Rattus norvegicus: one gene and its partner. The protein of the gene in region 2 interacts with the protein of the main gene of each other region in a biochemical or structural test. Links are inferred from orthologs where the notes say so. Each region holds a gene or a part of one and is shown on either strand. Other genes may lie near its edges.

What was found. The genes of interacting proteins can lie anywhere in the genome.
Region 1: the proteins of Nxf1 (region 2) and Nup214 form a complex in vitro, tested with the Homo sapiens proteins (4 studies listed by BioGRID and IntAct). The link is inferred for Rattus norvegicus from reciprocal best matches to the Homo sapiens genes NXF1 and NUP214.

The regions. Positions count from the first base shown.
Region 1 is NC_086021.1:35,709,817-35,717,587, forward strand, and holds part of Nup214 (nuclear pore complex protein Nup214), read left to right. Parts: intron 1-1,292; coding exon 1,293-1,351; intron 1,352-3,195; coding exon 3,196-4,950; intron 4,951-7,771. UniProt on the Homo sapiens protein: Part of the nuclear pore complex. Has a critical role in nucleocytoplasmic transport.
Region 2 is NC_086019.1:215,081,190-215,089,399, forward strand, and holds the start of Nxf1 (nuclear RNA export factor 1), read left to right. Parts: upstream 1-3,373; 5' UTR 3,374-3,441; coding exon 3,442-3,469; intron 3,470-8,042; coding exon 8,043-8,210. Other genes in the region: Stx5 (syntaxin-5), read left to right, coding at 763-922.

The sequences.
Region 1 (7,771 bases), on a different chromosome or scaffold from region 2:
TGGCTCAAACTCCTCTCCAAGCTGACTGATTCAATCTGGCTTTTCTCTTCAGCCTCTGAAGTGCTCGGCTTGGCATCAGACTAACTCTAGCAATCTGTTCTAATCTTCTGGCTCCTCGTTCTCTGGCTTGTTCTGTCTTCACCTGTGTTCTCTCTTCAATCTGTTTCTGTAAAACTCTCCCAGGAAAACTGCCTCCTTCTCCCCCTCCTTGCTGTTCTACTCTCCCTCTCAACTCTACTGTATTCCTGTACTGTACTGTCTTCCTCCTGTACTGTCTCTCTCTCGAGTAGCTTCCCTTCCCTTCCTCTTTTCTTGTGAGAGCTGGGCCTATCCTATTCTGATGTCACTTTCAAACATGGCTGCTTCCTTCTACAAACTAACTTTAGCTTCATTGTTTGGGATTAAAGGTAAGTACTAAGAGCTTGTATTCCCGACAGAGGGATTAAAGATGTGTGCTATGGGCTAGGAGATAGCTCAGCGCTTGAGAGCACTGACTGCTCTTCCAGAGGTCCTGAGTTCAAATCCCAACAACCACATGGTAGCTCACAACCATCTGTAATGGATCTGATGACCTCTTATGGTGTGTCTGAAGACAGCTACAGTGTGCTTATATGTAATAAAATAAATAAACCTTTAAAAATGAAAGGGAGGAAGGAAGGAAAGAAAGGTGTGTGATAGGGTTGAGCCAATGCCCTAAGTAGAGGCAGGTTCAGATGTCCTCTAACACTGAATCCTGGCATTATGCACTGAATTAGATAGGCTTATTTTTGAGTTATTCAGTGGAAAATCTGCATTCCTGCTGCTGTTAACAGTCTGTCGCTCTGTACTCCTGCTGCCACCTTCCCTGCACAGCAGCACTCCCGCCCACATGCTCCTTGACTTAAGGCAGGTGCCCAGAGATTCTCCCTCTTCTCCTGCTCCTTGACTGCCTTTCATTGTACACACTCACTCGGCAGTGTCTGCTCCAGTGTCATCTGCACAGGCCTAGTGTGTTTTTACTGCTGCACTTTACTTTTTAAAACACAGGTCTTCCCAGGCCTCCTGTGGAGAACCCAGCCATCCAGCCAAAGCCTTCCTGCTGCTGCTGCTCCTTCCTGCCTCCTCTCCAAAGTGTGTGCCCTGCTTGAAGGTGCTGGACACCTCTGAGATGTGTATTTTAACTCAGCTGTTGCTGATCACTAGATGTGAATTCTTCAAGGGCATATTGTATGAATGATTATAAGGAGGAATCTTTAAAAGCCAATGCTGTGTTAAGTTTGCTCCGTTTTAACTCGTCTTTTTCTACTCCTCAGGACCTTTACTTTTGGGACAATCACACCAGCCCCATCTTCTAGTTTCACTGCCACACCAGGTACAGTCCCGTGCTGCATTGGTGTTCATTCGTACTTCCCTCCTGGAAGAACCGCTGAATGGGAATGTGTAGGGTGGTACATTGTAACTTTGTAGTACAGTCAGGTTGGTAGTGATGATGTTTATCAGAGACACGAGAAAGGGCTGAGAGCGGCTTGGCAGGGCGCCTTCCCAGCACACAAACACCCTGGCTTGAATTCACAGCAGCAGAGCCACAGCAGTGTTTAACCCAGAGCTCGATATGGGGCTGCTGAGGGGGCTCAGTGCCCGGGCCAGCCCTGCCCTCTGCCTGCCACATTCTCTGTGACTTGCAAACACACACAAATAAAATATTTTAATGCAATAATTTTTAAAGAATCTGTTGTGAAGGAGATCTGTTTACATAACTATAAAAAGGGAAAAGACTTGCTTCTCAAAGCCTCGTTTGCTATAACATTCTAATGTTACATGCAAACTTGGTGGACAATATACCATGGAGGTAAAAGATCAAACCTGGTCCTAAACACTGGTCCACATACCTGTGCTAGGAATCCAGACCCACCCAAAAGAGAACAGTTTGTCAAGTTCCTCCCAGCTTTATCTAAGTAATTAAATATATTTTTGTTTTATTTTACTGTGGCATGTTTTTGTTAGGAAATTGTGGGATATAAAATGTACGATGGAGTTTCAAGTCACTCGGTAGCAGCTACTGCATTTGTGCTTTTCTTTGCAGAGTTTTGTCTTTACCTGGCTCTCATTAACTTCATGTCTTCTTGTCACCTTTGCTGGACTTGCTGACACAGGCTTGGAGTCTCAGCTACACAGAAGTTGAGATAGGAGGCTCTCAAATGTAAAGCCTGTCTAGACTACAGAGTTAGTCAAGGCCAGCTGGGGCAACTTAGCACTGGACTCCTCTAAATAAAATAGAAAGGACTGGAAGGTGGGTGTAGCTTTGGTACACTTGCTAGGCATAGGCAAGACCCTGTCTAGGGGTCAGGGAGTCATGCTAGTGACTCACGGTTCTCTCCCATGGCCTTGCTATGCTTTTATCGTCTGTCTACTCTTTTTAGTGTGTTTTTGGACTATGCATGTGATAAATAAGACATCCATCATCTTAGGTTTCTTAATCAACAAGCCTTTTCTATGTGTGTGCTGGGAATAGAACCTAATGCTTTGTATTTAACAAATCTTTTTTCAATTTTTTATTATGAGACATGGTGTCTCCTTTACTTTGAGAAGCAAGTCTTTAGGAAATAGTCAGGATAAGATGCAGTGATCCTACATTAACTCCGGATCAGTACAGCAGTGGGTGACAACCCAGTGCCGTAAGCAACATCACCAGTAATACAATGCCATGCTCAGTAAGGCCCTGGTAAACGCTTAATTGTAGTAGAAATTACCATCTACGGGTGACTCTGACCTTGAACAGTGAAGGGCTTCCAGTCTTGGTCCAATTGGGCTATGAGGATTGTTCATAGATTAGCTGGTGCCCACAGTGGGAGGGAAGCCATTGCCCAGGGCACTGTGTTGAGCGCAGCCTAGCAAGTAGCACAGGTAGGTGCTGTTGTACTTTTCTTTGGGGAAAATGTGTCCGTTTCATGTATCCTAGATGTCACGTGTTGTTGTGATATAGTGATCATAAACAAAATCTTCATTCCTTCCCCCTTGAGAGCTGACTCTGTCAGGGCTAACGCTTCTGTGCAGAGCAAGTGGCCAATCCACCCTTTGGAGAGAACCCTGCTGTTAGAGCCATAAGTCTCTTCCCTGACTGAAGAAAAAGATTGCCTTAGAGGGGCAGTCAGTGGAAGTGCAATGAATTCTATTCTGCTAAGTCCAACTCTTTTCCTGGTTTCTTTTTCTTGCTAGGGGCAGCACCCCCCACTAAAGAGTCAAACCAGCTTGAGGCGTTCTCATTTGGCGGGGGAGGCAAACCTTTTTGTGAGACCATTCCTGGAAACCCCCCTGCCACGGGACCCCCATCAGCACCCAGCACTTCTGTAACAACTACGTCTCTGGAAGACTCTGCTCCAACCAGCAGCAAACCTGCAACTCCTGAAACTCCTGTGTCCACTGCCTCTAGCAAATTGGAAACTCCACCATCCAAGTTAGGAGAGCTTCTCTTCCCAAGTTCTCTAGCTGGAGAGACGCTAGGGAGCTTCTCAGGACTGCGTGTTGGCCAGGCTGAGGAGTCTACAAAGCCCGTTAGTAAGGCCTCCTCCACAAACCTGGCCGGAGCCCAGCCAGCCAAGCCCTCAGGGTTTAGCTTTCCTGCTGCTTCCGTGTTAGGGAAGCCAGTGGAGCCCAGTGTGACGTCCTCTGCCCCAGCGGCACCAGTCTCAGCTCTGAGTGCGAGCACTAGCAGTTCCTCGGCAACTGTCTTTGGCAGTGTGCCCCTTACCAGTGCTGCACCTTCCGGGCTCATGAGTTTTAGTGGGGCCTCTTTGGCTAGTAGCAAAGCTAGTTTCTCATTTGGAAACCAACAGACTAGTAGTGCAGCAGCAGCAGCAGCTACCCCAGCATCCACCTCAGTTGCCCCTTCCCTTCCAGCATCTTTCCCTACTTTGTCATTTGGTGGCCTCCTGAGTTCACCATCAGCTTCTTCCCTGCCTGTGTCTTCTGGTAAGATCACAGAGGAGGCCACACCACCAGCTGTGCCTGACAAGTCAGACCACAGTGAAGTGTCAGCATCAACACCCTCACTTCCACTACAGCCACCGTCAGCCCAGCTTCCCCAGGCATCTCTGCAAACTTCTGACCCTGTCAAAAAAGAACCTGTTCCTGCGCAGACCACAGACAGCAGACCATCATCTTCTGCCAGCCTTGTGGCATCCACAGAATCCACTCCAGTCGCCCCAGGGGGCCCTGATAGCAAGACAGAAGCAGTGTCCCCTGCTTCCACCTTTGCAGGGCCTGGGCCGGCCGTGGTTGCAGCTGTTCTCCTAGGAGCAGGCTCGGCAGCCAGTGAAGCTTCCGGTACCCCTAGTACCTCCAGCACTGTCTCCAGCAGTACCCCAACTCCTGCCACAGAGACAGCTGTATTTGGGACTGCCACTTCTGGCTCCTCAGTCTTTACACAGCCGCCTGCTGCCAGTTCGAGCTCAGCATTCAACCAGCTCTCCAGTAACACGGCCACTGCACCCTCCGCCACCCCCGTGTTTGGGCAAGTGGCAGCCAGCATAGCCAGCACAGCCGCTGCCACGCCACAGGCCAGCAGTTCAGGATTTGGCAGCCCTGCGTTTGGTGCTTCGGCTCCTGGAGTGTTCGGACAGACAGCATTTGGGCAGTCCCCAGCCTTTGGGCAAGCAACAAGCAGCCCTGCGAGTGGCTTCTCCTTCAGCCAACCTGGGTTCAGCTCTGTCCCTGCTTTTGGCCAGTCTGTCTCCTCCACCCCCACATCCACCAGTGCCAATGTCTTCGGAGCCACCTCAAGTACCAGCAGCCCTGGTTCCTTCTCATTTGGACAGGCTTCTACCAATACAGGAGGGACGCTATTTGGCCAAAACAACCCTCCTGCTTTTGGTCAGAGCCCGGGCTTTGGGCAGGGAGGCTCTGTGTTTGGTAGCACCTCGGCCACTACCTCTACAGCAGCACCTTCAGGGTTTAGCTTTTGTCAAGCCTCCGGTAAGAATTTGCGGAACATTTTGACTTTGTTCTCCTCTGTGCTATTTAAAGCATTTATAACAAGTCCCCACTGTTATAATTAAACGGGAGGAGCTGGGTGTTGTAGTGCATGCCTATAATCCTCACCTAGAGGGCAGAGACAGGAGGATCAGGGGTTCAAGGCTCTTGGGTACATAATACATTCAAAGCCATCCCAGGGTATATGAAATCCTGTCTCAAAAACTAATAATCCAAGATGAAGGAGGGTGCTTGGTTCCCGTATGGTAGGACCTGCTTTGTCCTGATTGGCTGCCCCCCGTTGCTCAGTATTGCTCTGATTCTCTTCCTCAGCAAGCTCTCTACCTTGCTGACCACAGACTACCAATTTCACAGGTTGAAAAAGCACACCTGTTTGTTTAAGGCCACAGCAAGTAATTTAACTCTTAATTACAATGTGTTTTTGTAATTTGGAAAGCACATTAGAGACCCCAAAACTGTCAGACTCGGGTAGTCTGACCAATGGTAGATGGTGCAGGTGCGAGAGTAGGAAGGACCAGGTCTGCCCATTGAGTTAATTGATTGCTCTGCGGATAGTTTTAATTTTTTTTTTTTTTGATGCCATCTTTCTTGTGGGAAGCAGGGATATTGCTACTTTGAATAGCAGTTACACATACACAAGGCACACACACATTATACTATTTTTGAAGAGAAAACTGGATGCTTCATTCTGTATCCGATCTTAGCATCTACTTTTACTTAATAAAAGTTCCCAGTGGACATGGTAATGAGGTGAGGTCCAGTTTTGGCCTCTAGTGGTTCTCTCACGAAAGGTAATTCTTGCCAGGTGGTGCTGGCACACACCTTTAATCCCAGCACTCAAGAGGCAGAGGCAGGAGGATCTCAGGGAGTTCAAGGCCAGCCTGGTCTACAACTGGAGTACCAGGACAGCCAGGGCTACACAGAGAAACCCTACACGAAAAAAAGCAAGACAAAGAAGAGAGGTAATTCTTTACAGTTAGGCCCTTGGAGAGACACAGTGTCGACGGCTTCTTGGTAGACAGGATTGCACATAATTGCTTATTTATTTTTTCAGTGATAATTTGAAACAACTTGTAATTTGTTAAAAGGAAATGTTTCCCTTCTTTTAATGAGTGTTAAATTCCTACCAAAACAACTATAAAGACACAGTAGGCAGAGAAAACGACTCTGAACACCACCATCCCACCCTACCTCTGTCCCATGCCCTGAGGCTGTGCAAACAAGTGACCCATCTGGGTAATGGGCATTTAATGGGCAGGGAGAAGGCCTAAGACTCAGAATAAAATTTTGCCATTGCTTGTCCTGAGCATTGAGGACAGGAATAAAAAGTCTGTGCAACCATCAGTGACCCAAGTCGTCAGTGAGGCTGATAAATCTGAGGCTGAGCAGTCAGCAAAGTCGGAGCCTCCTGAGGGTCTGGTTTAAACACAGTGCTTGGGTGCACCCTGGGGCCGCATCCAGGACGAGTTGAGGAATTAACGTTTGTCTGTTCTCACCCCTCTAATCGGCCCCTTAGTTACAGTTGTGTATCACTTGCCTCACTTCTGGTGATGCCTGCCCGAAGATCATCCTCCCTGGTGGAATCCAGGGCTTGAGTTGTAATCAGGGAGACAGACTCCTAGGGTAGGTCACCGGAAAGTACTCTCGTTAGCCAAGATCGTGAGGGCGCGCTACCATGGCAGGTCCCACCACCTGGTAAGAGAGAAGACTTCATAATTTATGTTACTTTAAAATGCTAACAGTGAGGCAAGGGCCTTTCACCTGGCCCTCCGCATGGATGGGTTCTGTACCTGCAGATGTAGCCTGCCATGGATTGAACTAATAAGGAAAAATCTGTACTGGCAGTGTACTTTTTCTTGTCATTATCCCTCAGCAGTACAAAGTAGCAGCTGGTTGACATAGTCTCTCCAGTATACTGCAGTGTACCATAAGGCATCCCCAAATGATGGAAGATAAGGGGAGGCTGGACACACGGACTCAAACACCACACCACGTCCTGAACGAGACTGCTACAGCCTCAGATTTTATATCCTCACAGATTCCTTATGAATACCAAAAAACAGCTGTGTTTACATAGAATTTTCTCCATTTCCTCAATGGGGAAACATTTTTTTAAAAATTGTTAATATATTTATTGACTTTTTTGTGTGTGCACATGCATGTATGTAATAATGTATTTTGATCAGAATCACACACAAGTCTATCTCCTGTCTTTTCTTCCTCTCTGGAACCCTTCTTTCCAACAACCCCCTCCTGCTTTCTGTTTCTCTTTTAGTGACTGAGTTTAATAGTTTGATTAACCTTTATGAGCATAGGTATGGGGTTGCTTTTACTGGATCACAAACAACTTACCCATAAATACACTTCTGAAGAAAAATGACTCCCCTGCTCCAGTAGCCATTAACTTCCAGTAGGTCCTCAACTCGGGGTAGGGCCTTATGTGTCCCTCGCCTTCCAGTCTGGACTGTTGCAGGCAGGTAATCATGGCTTCTGTGAGCCCACGAGCACGACAGCCCTATCATGTTTAGAAAACGGTTTACTCTTCCTTCTGACAACCATGCTGTGAAATCCTTCTACCCCTTGTTCTCTGTCTTCCATGGTTTCTGGGAGCCTTAGTCTAGCTTAGGGTAGGACACCTGACAGTCACTTGGTCTCAGCAGCTTGTTTACGTTCCTCCTGTGGAGCAGGCCTCCAAGCAGAAAGTGATTGCTTGCTTCCATGCCTTCATGCCTCGGCTGCATTGTAGACACATCTTATCCAGGGGGTTCGTATGGAGCATGTAGGATACGCTCACCCTGGAGAA
Region 2 (8,210 bases):
TGTCTATATTAAGATGTTCCCATCACCCAACAAGGATTTTCTGACTATAATGGTTTGAACTTCTCTCCCCATTAATCACAATGCAATACATATTCATTATTGGAAAAAAAAAGCAGGAAATGTTTATGAGTAAAACTTACAGCATTTGGGGTACTCATATAGATTGGAGGCTCATTTAACTCACTGAAAATTAAAACCTCATGAGGAGCTGGAGAGATGGCTCAGTGATTAAGAGCACTGACTGCTCTTCCAGAGGTCCTGAGTTCAATTCCCAGCAACCACATGGTGGCTCTCAACCATCTGTAATGGGATCTCCTACCCTCTTCTGGTGTGGCTGAAGACAGTGACAGTGTACTCACATACATAAAATAAATAAGTCTTTAAATAAAAAAAAAAAACAGATAAATAAGAAATCTCATGAAAGGAGTAGGGTTTATATCATTTATCTCATTTTTTAGATGTGGAAAATAAGACTGGTTAAATAATTCAATCATAAGCTAATAACTGGCAGGACACTTTAAAGCTAGAATCAAACATGATCTACTACCCTCAAAAAACTTGATATGTGTGTGTGTGTGTGTGTGTGTATGTATGTATGTATGTATGTATGTATGTGTATACACACACACACACACACACAGTTAACGTAGTATCAAATACTTTTTACTTCTACATATTGTGATCAGCTTCCCATATCAATAAATGGATGTCTTTAACCTTCTTCAACCCAGTGTTCCTCTCTGTTTTATCTCCTGTTTCCAGGATTGACGAGAATGTGCTTGGAGCCCAGCTGGATGTTGAGGCCGCCCATTCAGAGATCCTCAAGTACTTCCAGTCAGTCACCTCCAATCGGTGGCTCATGGTCAAAATCTTCCTCATCCTCATTGTCTTCTTCATCATCTTTGTGGTCTTCCTTGCCTGAACCCTCCTCCCTCATTCTGAGCCACTCCATGGAGGGCCTGGAACCCTTCTGGAAGGACAGGTGGCCACTATTGCCACTGAGCCTGTGCAGGGTAGTTGGGAGAAAGGCCATTTCCTTGGAACTGCTAAGAATGGCCAGTGTCCCTGATTCCCCACCCTTGTCTCTGGCCACTCTGTCCTACCCTCAGGCCCATGAAACACACTGGTTCTGGATTTGGCCTCTGCTGTGAAGTGGCAGGGAACAGAAGCCAGCTAGGGCCAGTGGGGAGGTTGTCTCTACCATGAGATTTTTATAAACCCAGACCAGCCTCCCCTAAAGGTAACTGGCAGCAAGAGGAAACAATGCCCTTCCTTGCCTTCTGGAGAGTGAGGTGAGGAAGTAAAACTATCCCAGGGACCAACTTAATCATCTGGGTCATCTAGAACTTGACTGCCACCTTCTCCTCACCATGTGAGGTGGGGGGGGCTCTGAGCCCTACAGTTGCACAAACCTGACTTTGGCTACTGGTGACTCTCAATCTGCCAAACATGCTGCAGCCTGTTTCCTCCCAATTACAGCAAGACTGTCAGCCTCACTAGTGATGTTGTCGTTTCTGGGTGGGATCGTCGTGGGCTTCCGCAGCCAGCAAACCACTGCTTAATACCAGAACCAAAAGGGTTAAGTTGGTGGCTTTGACAGCCCCCATTGATAGGCAGAGCAGCTTTGGAGCTCTGTACCCACAACTCCCTCTTAAAAGGGAGTGGCCAAGTAACAACAGCACTAAATTAGAATTTTCCTTTGAACTGGAGCTAAGTGGACTCATTATTGGGTGTCAACTTCTAGGGCTGTCCCAAACAGTTTGAGCCTGTTTAACCTGTATCTTCAAATCACCTGGTCCTGATTTTTGAACTGAGTGAAGCAAGAGCTCTGCTGCTGGGTGAAGAGCATTTGTGCCCAGCTCCAATTTGTACCCAGCTCTTTGGCACCTTCTAAGATCCTGAGCAAAACCACTGCAAAATGGAGGTGACCCACCTAACACAGACCCTCAAGGGAGATTAATGAGTTGTTTTGTCTTTCTGATCTGTGTTAAAGTCATGCTCCGTGCCTACCAGTGCCCCATCTGATTCCCCTCCTACAGCAGCATCTGGGTCCAAGGAATGGAGGAGAGTCCTAGTCACACCAAAGGTTTACTAGAAGAGCTCTTGGGTTTGCCATCTAAAAATTTCAACCAGCACTTGGGAGTTAGAAGCAAGTGGATCTCTTTTATTATTATTATTATTATTATTTTTTTTTTTTTTTTTTTATTCCGGAGCTGGGGACTGAACCCAGGGCCTTGTGCTTGCTAGGCAAGCGCTCTACCACTGAGCTAAATCCCCAACCTCGCAAGTGGATCTCTTGAGTTTGAGGCCAACTTGGTCTACAAAGCAAGTTTCAGGACAGCCAGAATTATACAGAAACCCTGTCTCAAACAAAACCACTCAATACTAGCAACTTTCCCTACCTACCTAGCTAACCTGGGTTTTACCAATTAGGCTTCAGCATGATGGCCAGGGCCTTGGGGGTGAAGATCATAGCTCACTAGATTACTAATTTTGTTTTGAGACCGTCTATGTAGCCTTCGCTATCTCTGTACTGGCTATGTCGACAAAAATACTGGTACTAAGACTAAAGCTTTTTTTTTTTTTTTTTTTTTGAGGCAGGGCCTCTACAAGCTCTGGCTATTCTAGAAATTTCTATAGAGCTGAGACTGGCCTCAAATTTAAAGATCCACCTGCCTCTGCCTTCCAAATACGGGTTTAAAGACCTGCGCCACTACAGCTCGCCTGACGCTTTAATTAGGCAATTTGTAGAAGACCTACAAGGGAACAGGACAGGATTTCGCTTAATTCACACTTGGGTTTCACAATGGGCATGATACTGTGCCAGGCACGCTGGAGGAAGAAAAGTTGCGCATAAGTTAAGGTTCCTGTTCCAGTGGGGCTTACATTCCAATTTTCTATTTCGTCATAATCCGTCGTAGAGGCGAGAAAGGCTGGGAGGGCATAAGCCGGCGGCTGGCAAGGAACTGCGCTGCGACTTACACGCTGCCGGGATCCCACCTGCGTGGACTGTGATCCGTTACTCCCGTTCAGAGGCCAGGTCTCCATTCTTCTGTGTAGCTCTCGTCCCTGCTCCTGAGTTCAGGGCTAAAGCAGACCGCTCAGCTCCAGCGCAAACCTCAGCGCTGCGGGCCAGCGGAGAAGTAGGAAGGCGGGGCCGACCTACAAGCCATCGCGCCCCGAGCTCCGGCCGTGGGCGGGCCTCGGAGGGCCTGGCCACGCCTCCGAGCGGCCGCCCTGCTTCTGCGCAGGCTCAGAGAGCGCGTTCCTGCCCCGCGGCACCGCCCACATCCTGGGGACGTCGGCTGCGCGCGACGTGCTTCGCCGGATAAATGCGGTGGCGCCGGTCGTAGGAGAGCTTCTGTCCTGAGCGCCAAGGCGTCCGGGTGTTTGGTGGCGTCAGGTTCTGCGCCTGAGCCCGCCCCTGTACCTGCCTGTGCCATGGCGGACGAAGGGAAGTCATACAACGGTTAGTGCGGGGCCTCGGGCCGGGAGGCGACGCGGTGGGTCAGGGTGGGCGGCCCCGGCCTAGGCCTCAGCCCGGGGGCGGGAGGCCGCGAGGAGCCCTACGTCCGTAGGTAGCGGTGGCCGCGCGGGCAGGGGGCGCGGGACGCCGCGGGACCCGGGGACTCCAGAGTCGCCCGGATTCTGGCGTTGGAGGACCTGTGGCTCAGGGGTGAGGTGACAAGATTTCCTTTCAACTTTGAGGGTGGTTGATGCCTGTCAGTTCAGTTTGGCAGCCGGACTCTTCCTTTAAATGTGAGTCAGTAGTCAGGCTACCCTGGTGCCCTATTTTTTTTTTTTTTTTAAATACGATCAGTCTGTTCTTGCAGCTTGCTGCTTATTGTTTACCCAGTTTTCTAGCCCGCACACCTACCCTGACTTGTTAATTCATTGTGGTGGTTAGGACAGTATGACAGCTGAGGTTTGAATCTGAAGTTGGCTGTGCTAACCCCGAGTGAGTTAAACTTTGAGGCCTTGTTTTCCATCTCTTTCATGTGGGTACTTGTCTCCCGTGTCCCGTGTGTGTGTGTGTGTGTGTGTGTGTGTGTGTGTGTGTGTGTGTGTGTGTGTGTGTGTGAGAGAGAGAGAGAGAGAGAGAGAGAGAGAGAGAGAGAGAGAGAGAGATCATTTTATTAAGTGCCTCAAACACAGTGACTGGAGTGGGGATTTTTCAGTGAACCGTACTTGGACTGTCTCTTTAATGTATTCCTTTTTACTAGGGTCACTTGATATTAGGTATTAGATACTAGAAATTAGGTAGATTTCTTTGAAAGTTATGAATCTTTTTTTGTGCTTGTGTGGTGCTGATGACTTATCTATGCCTGAAAAATCTCTACCCAATGACCTTTTATTTTAATTCAAATATAATTGATCTCCTTCCTCCAGCCACTCACCTGTCATCCACTCCTCTCGCCAAATTCATGCAACTTGCTGAGTTCATTTAGTGTTATGTATTAGTTTGTAAAGCATACCATTTGGGATTGGCTAGCCATTTGGGGAGTTTGTCCCTTGGAAAGGCTAATTCTCCCTTATAGGGTCAGCCCAGGCTGGCTTCAGTCAGTCTTACTGTGTCAGCTTCCCAAGCTCAGCATTGCAGGCAGGCATGTGCCACCCACCATGCCTGCCTCACAGATGTTTACGGTTTACTTTTTTTTTTTTTTTTTTTTTTTTTTTGGTTCTAGGGTTGAACTTAAGGTCTGACAAAAGGTAAATAAATAGAACCAAGTGTAGTAGTACATTGTTTAAGGTAAGAGGATCAGAGAGGTTCAAGGTCATCCTCCACTACATACATAGTGTGCCCGGCTTTCTGTTCTCCCACAGAGCTATATTCCCATCCCTTGTTATTTTTTTGAGATGGTTTGCCAAGTTGCCCAGACTGACTTGAAGTTTTGAATTCTGCCTCAGCCTCAGTCTGGGTGATCTTTTTGAGTGTGGAAGGATAGACAAGCACTTTATCAACTAATCAGTATCCTTAGCCCTCCTTTTATTCGTTTTGTCTATATATAGGCAGACCAAACACTAAGAGAAACAGGGTTTCAATCCCAGTCTGGCCTTAAACTCTGTGTAGCTCAGATCCTCTTCCCTTAAACGGTGTACTACTACACTTGGTTCTATTTATTTATTTATTTATGTATTTGTTTACTGAAACAGTGTCTCAAAGTGTAGTTCTGAATGATCTAGAACACACTGAAAAGACCAGGCTGGCTTTCAGAACTCTGCCACTGTCTGGAATTAAGTTGTGGGTCACAATGTTTGGCTTCTTTCCCTTTTTTTTTTTTTTTTTTTTCTTTTTGGTTCTTTTTTTTCGGAGCTGGGGACCGAACCCAGGGCCTTACGCTTCCTAGGTAAGCGCTCTACGACTGAGCTAAATCCCCAGCCCCGCTTCTTTCCCTTTTTAAGGTATACTCTTAGCTGATCTGGAACTTGGATTCCTCCTGCTTCAAACACTAGTTATATTGGAGGACTCTAATGTGGAACCTGCACCAGACCCTGAATCTAGAAGTTCCTTGAGGTGTTTTTTTTTTTCCCCAAAGAAACTAGCATTTCCTAAATTCAGAGTGCAGAAGATGGTAGTTGTTTTTAAGAGACTTTACATCATATTTGTAAGAATTCTTTATTTTTCGAGAATCTCATGTAGCCCAGGATGGCTTTGAAAACTTTGTGTAATTGAAGCCTCCCCTTCCCAATTGCCAGGATTACAGGTGTTGGCCACAACATCTGGCTCTGTAACCATCAATTGTACAGCAAGTGGCAGATTTCACGTGGTTTTTCAGGGGTCTGGTTAGATTTTGGGGTTGCTCACACTTCCACATTCTACTCTCTGTAGGAACTGGTTTCTGGGTATTTTTGTTTTTCTTTTTTCTTTCTTTCTTTTTTTTTTTTCCTTTTCTTTTTTTCAGAACTGGGGACCGAACCCAGGGCCTTGCGCTTGATAGGCAAGCGCTCTACCACTGAGCTAAATCCCCAACCCCTTTTTTCTTTAAATTCTAAATTTTCTGGCAATTTTATACATATAATACACAGTGTATTGTGATTGTGTGCCCCTTTCATTACTCTTTTGTTTTTACTTATTTACTTTGTTTACTTACTTTATTTAATGTATAAGTGCTCTGGTGCATGTACACCTGCATGCCAGAAGGGGGCATCAGATTCCTTTATAGATAATCTTGAACCACTGTGGGATTTGAACTCAGGACCTCTGTAAGAGCAGCCAGTGCTCTAAACCGTTGAGCCATCTCTCTAGCCCTACTCTTTTTTTTTTTTTTTAAAGATTTATTTATTTTATGTATATGAGCACACTGTTGCTGACACACCAGAAGAGGTCATTGGATCCAATTAAGGGTGGTTGTGAGCCACCATGTGGTTGCTGGGAATTGAAGTCAGGACCTCTGGGAAAGCAGCCAGTGCTCTTAAGCCCTGAGCCATCTCTCAGCTCCCTACTCTTTGTTTTTAAGAGTTTATTTTTTTTCTGTGTCTGAGTATTTTGCCTATGTGTTTATTTTTCTATCATGTGTATGTCTGGTGCCTGCAGAGGCTGGAAGAGGACATTGGCTTCCCTGGAGTTAACTACAGAGGCCACTTCCATGCAGATATCAGAGCCCTTGACAAAGGAAAGATCTCTATAGGACATCAACATCAGGAACAAGTTATTGGAAAACCTAGGAATATTGAAAAATAAAAGGGTCAAGCATATACTCACGGAGACTCATTGCTTAAGAACACTTTCCAGAATACTAGCTTTGATTCTCAGCACCTACACTACAGTGCACAGCTGTTAGCTACTGTGTGGGTGCTGGAAGCCCATTCTGGGTCCTTTAGAAGAGCAGCTAGTGCTCTAATCATTGAGTGATTTTTTTCCCCCCCAGCCTCTAACCTACTGAGTTTAGTTAAGGTTGTTCATATGAACTTCTGGGGAGGCTCTTCCCTTCTGCCTTTTTTTTTTTTTTTCTTTTTCTTTTTCTTTTTTTTCGGAGCTGGGGACCGAACCCAGGGCCTTTTGCTTGCTAGACAAGCGCTCTACCACTGAGCTAAATGCCCACCCCGCAGCTAGTTTTCTTTTTTTTTTTTTTTTCCAGAGCTGGGGACCGAACCCAGGGCCTTGCGCTCCTAGGCAAGCGCTCTACCACTGAGCTAAATCCCCAACCCCCGCAGCTAGTTTTCTTAAGAACACTATTCCTAGCCCAAACACAGAGGCTTCCCAGAAGCTAATGGGAGCAGATGTGGAAAAAGAGAAACACTGGATCTGGGGGGAGAAAGGAGTTGGGTGGGGGAAGACTGGGAGAAGTGGAGGGAGGAGAAGCCCCAGTCAGAATATATTGTATAAAAAAAGAGGGGCTGGGGATTTAGCTCAGTGGTAGAGCGCTTACCTAGGAAGCGCAAGGCCCTGGGTTCGGTCCCCAGCTCCGAAAAAAAGAACCAAAAAAAAAAAAAAAAAAAAGAATAAGTAGGGGCTGAAGAGATGGCTCTGCTCTTCCAGAGGTCCTGAGTTCAATTCCCAGCACCAACATGGTGGCTCACAACCATCTGTAATGGGCATCTGATGTCCTCTTCTGGTGTATCTGAAGACAGCAACAGTATATTCACATATATAAAATAAATAAGTCTTTTTTTTTTAAAGGGATAAATAAAAAAAAAAAGGCATCTTACAGGGGGTGGTGGCTCATTTAATCCCAGCACCTGGGGAGGTAGAGGCAGGTGAATCTACAAGGCCAACTTGGTCTACAGTTAGTTCTAGGATAGCCAGAGCTACACAGAGAAACCCTGTGATGGCAGTGTGGTAAGTTATTTCTCCAGTGCCCTGAGGTACATTCTTGACCCTTTTCCAACATCCCTATAGTTTCCAATAACTTGTTCATGATATTGATGTCCTAGAGAAAGTTCTTTGCTCTGGCTAGGGCATAGGCATCTCTATGGAGGAAGCCTTTGTAGTTAAAATCTGTTTTTTCTAAGAGTACAGAGTACTAGAAACTGGTGGTTACACCAAGGTAACTAGGACCCCTCATATATTTACTAATTTCTGTGTCTGTTTCCATCTCCAGAACATGATGACCGTGTTAGTTTCCCACAAAGAAGAAAGAAAGGTCGGGGGCCTTTCCGATGGAAGTGTGGTGAGGGGAATCGTAGGTCTGGAAGAGGTGGTTCTGGTATACGGTCTTCCCGGTTTGAGGAAGATGATGGAGATGTGGCAATGAATGATCCCCAGGATG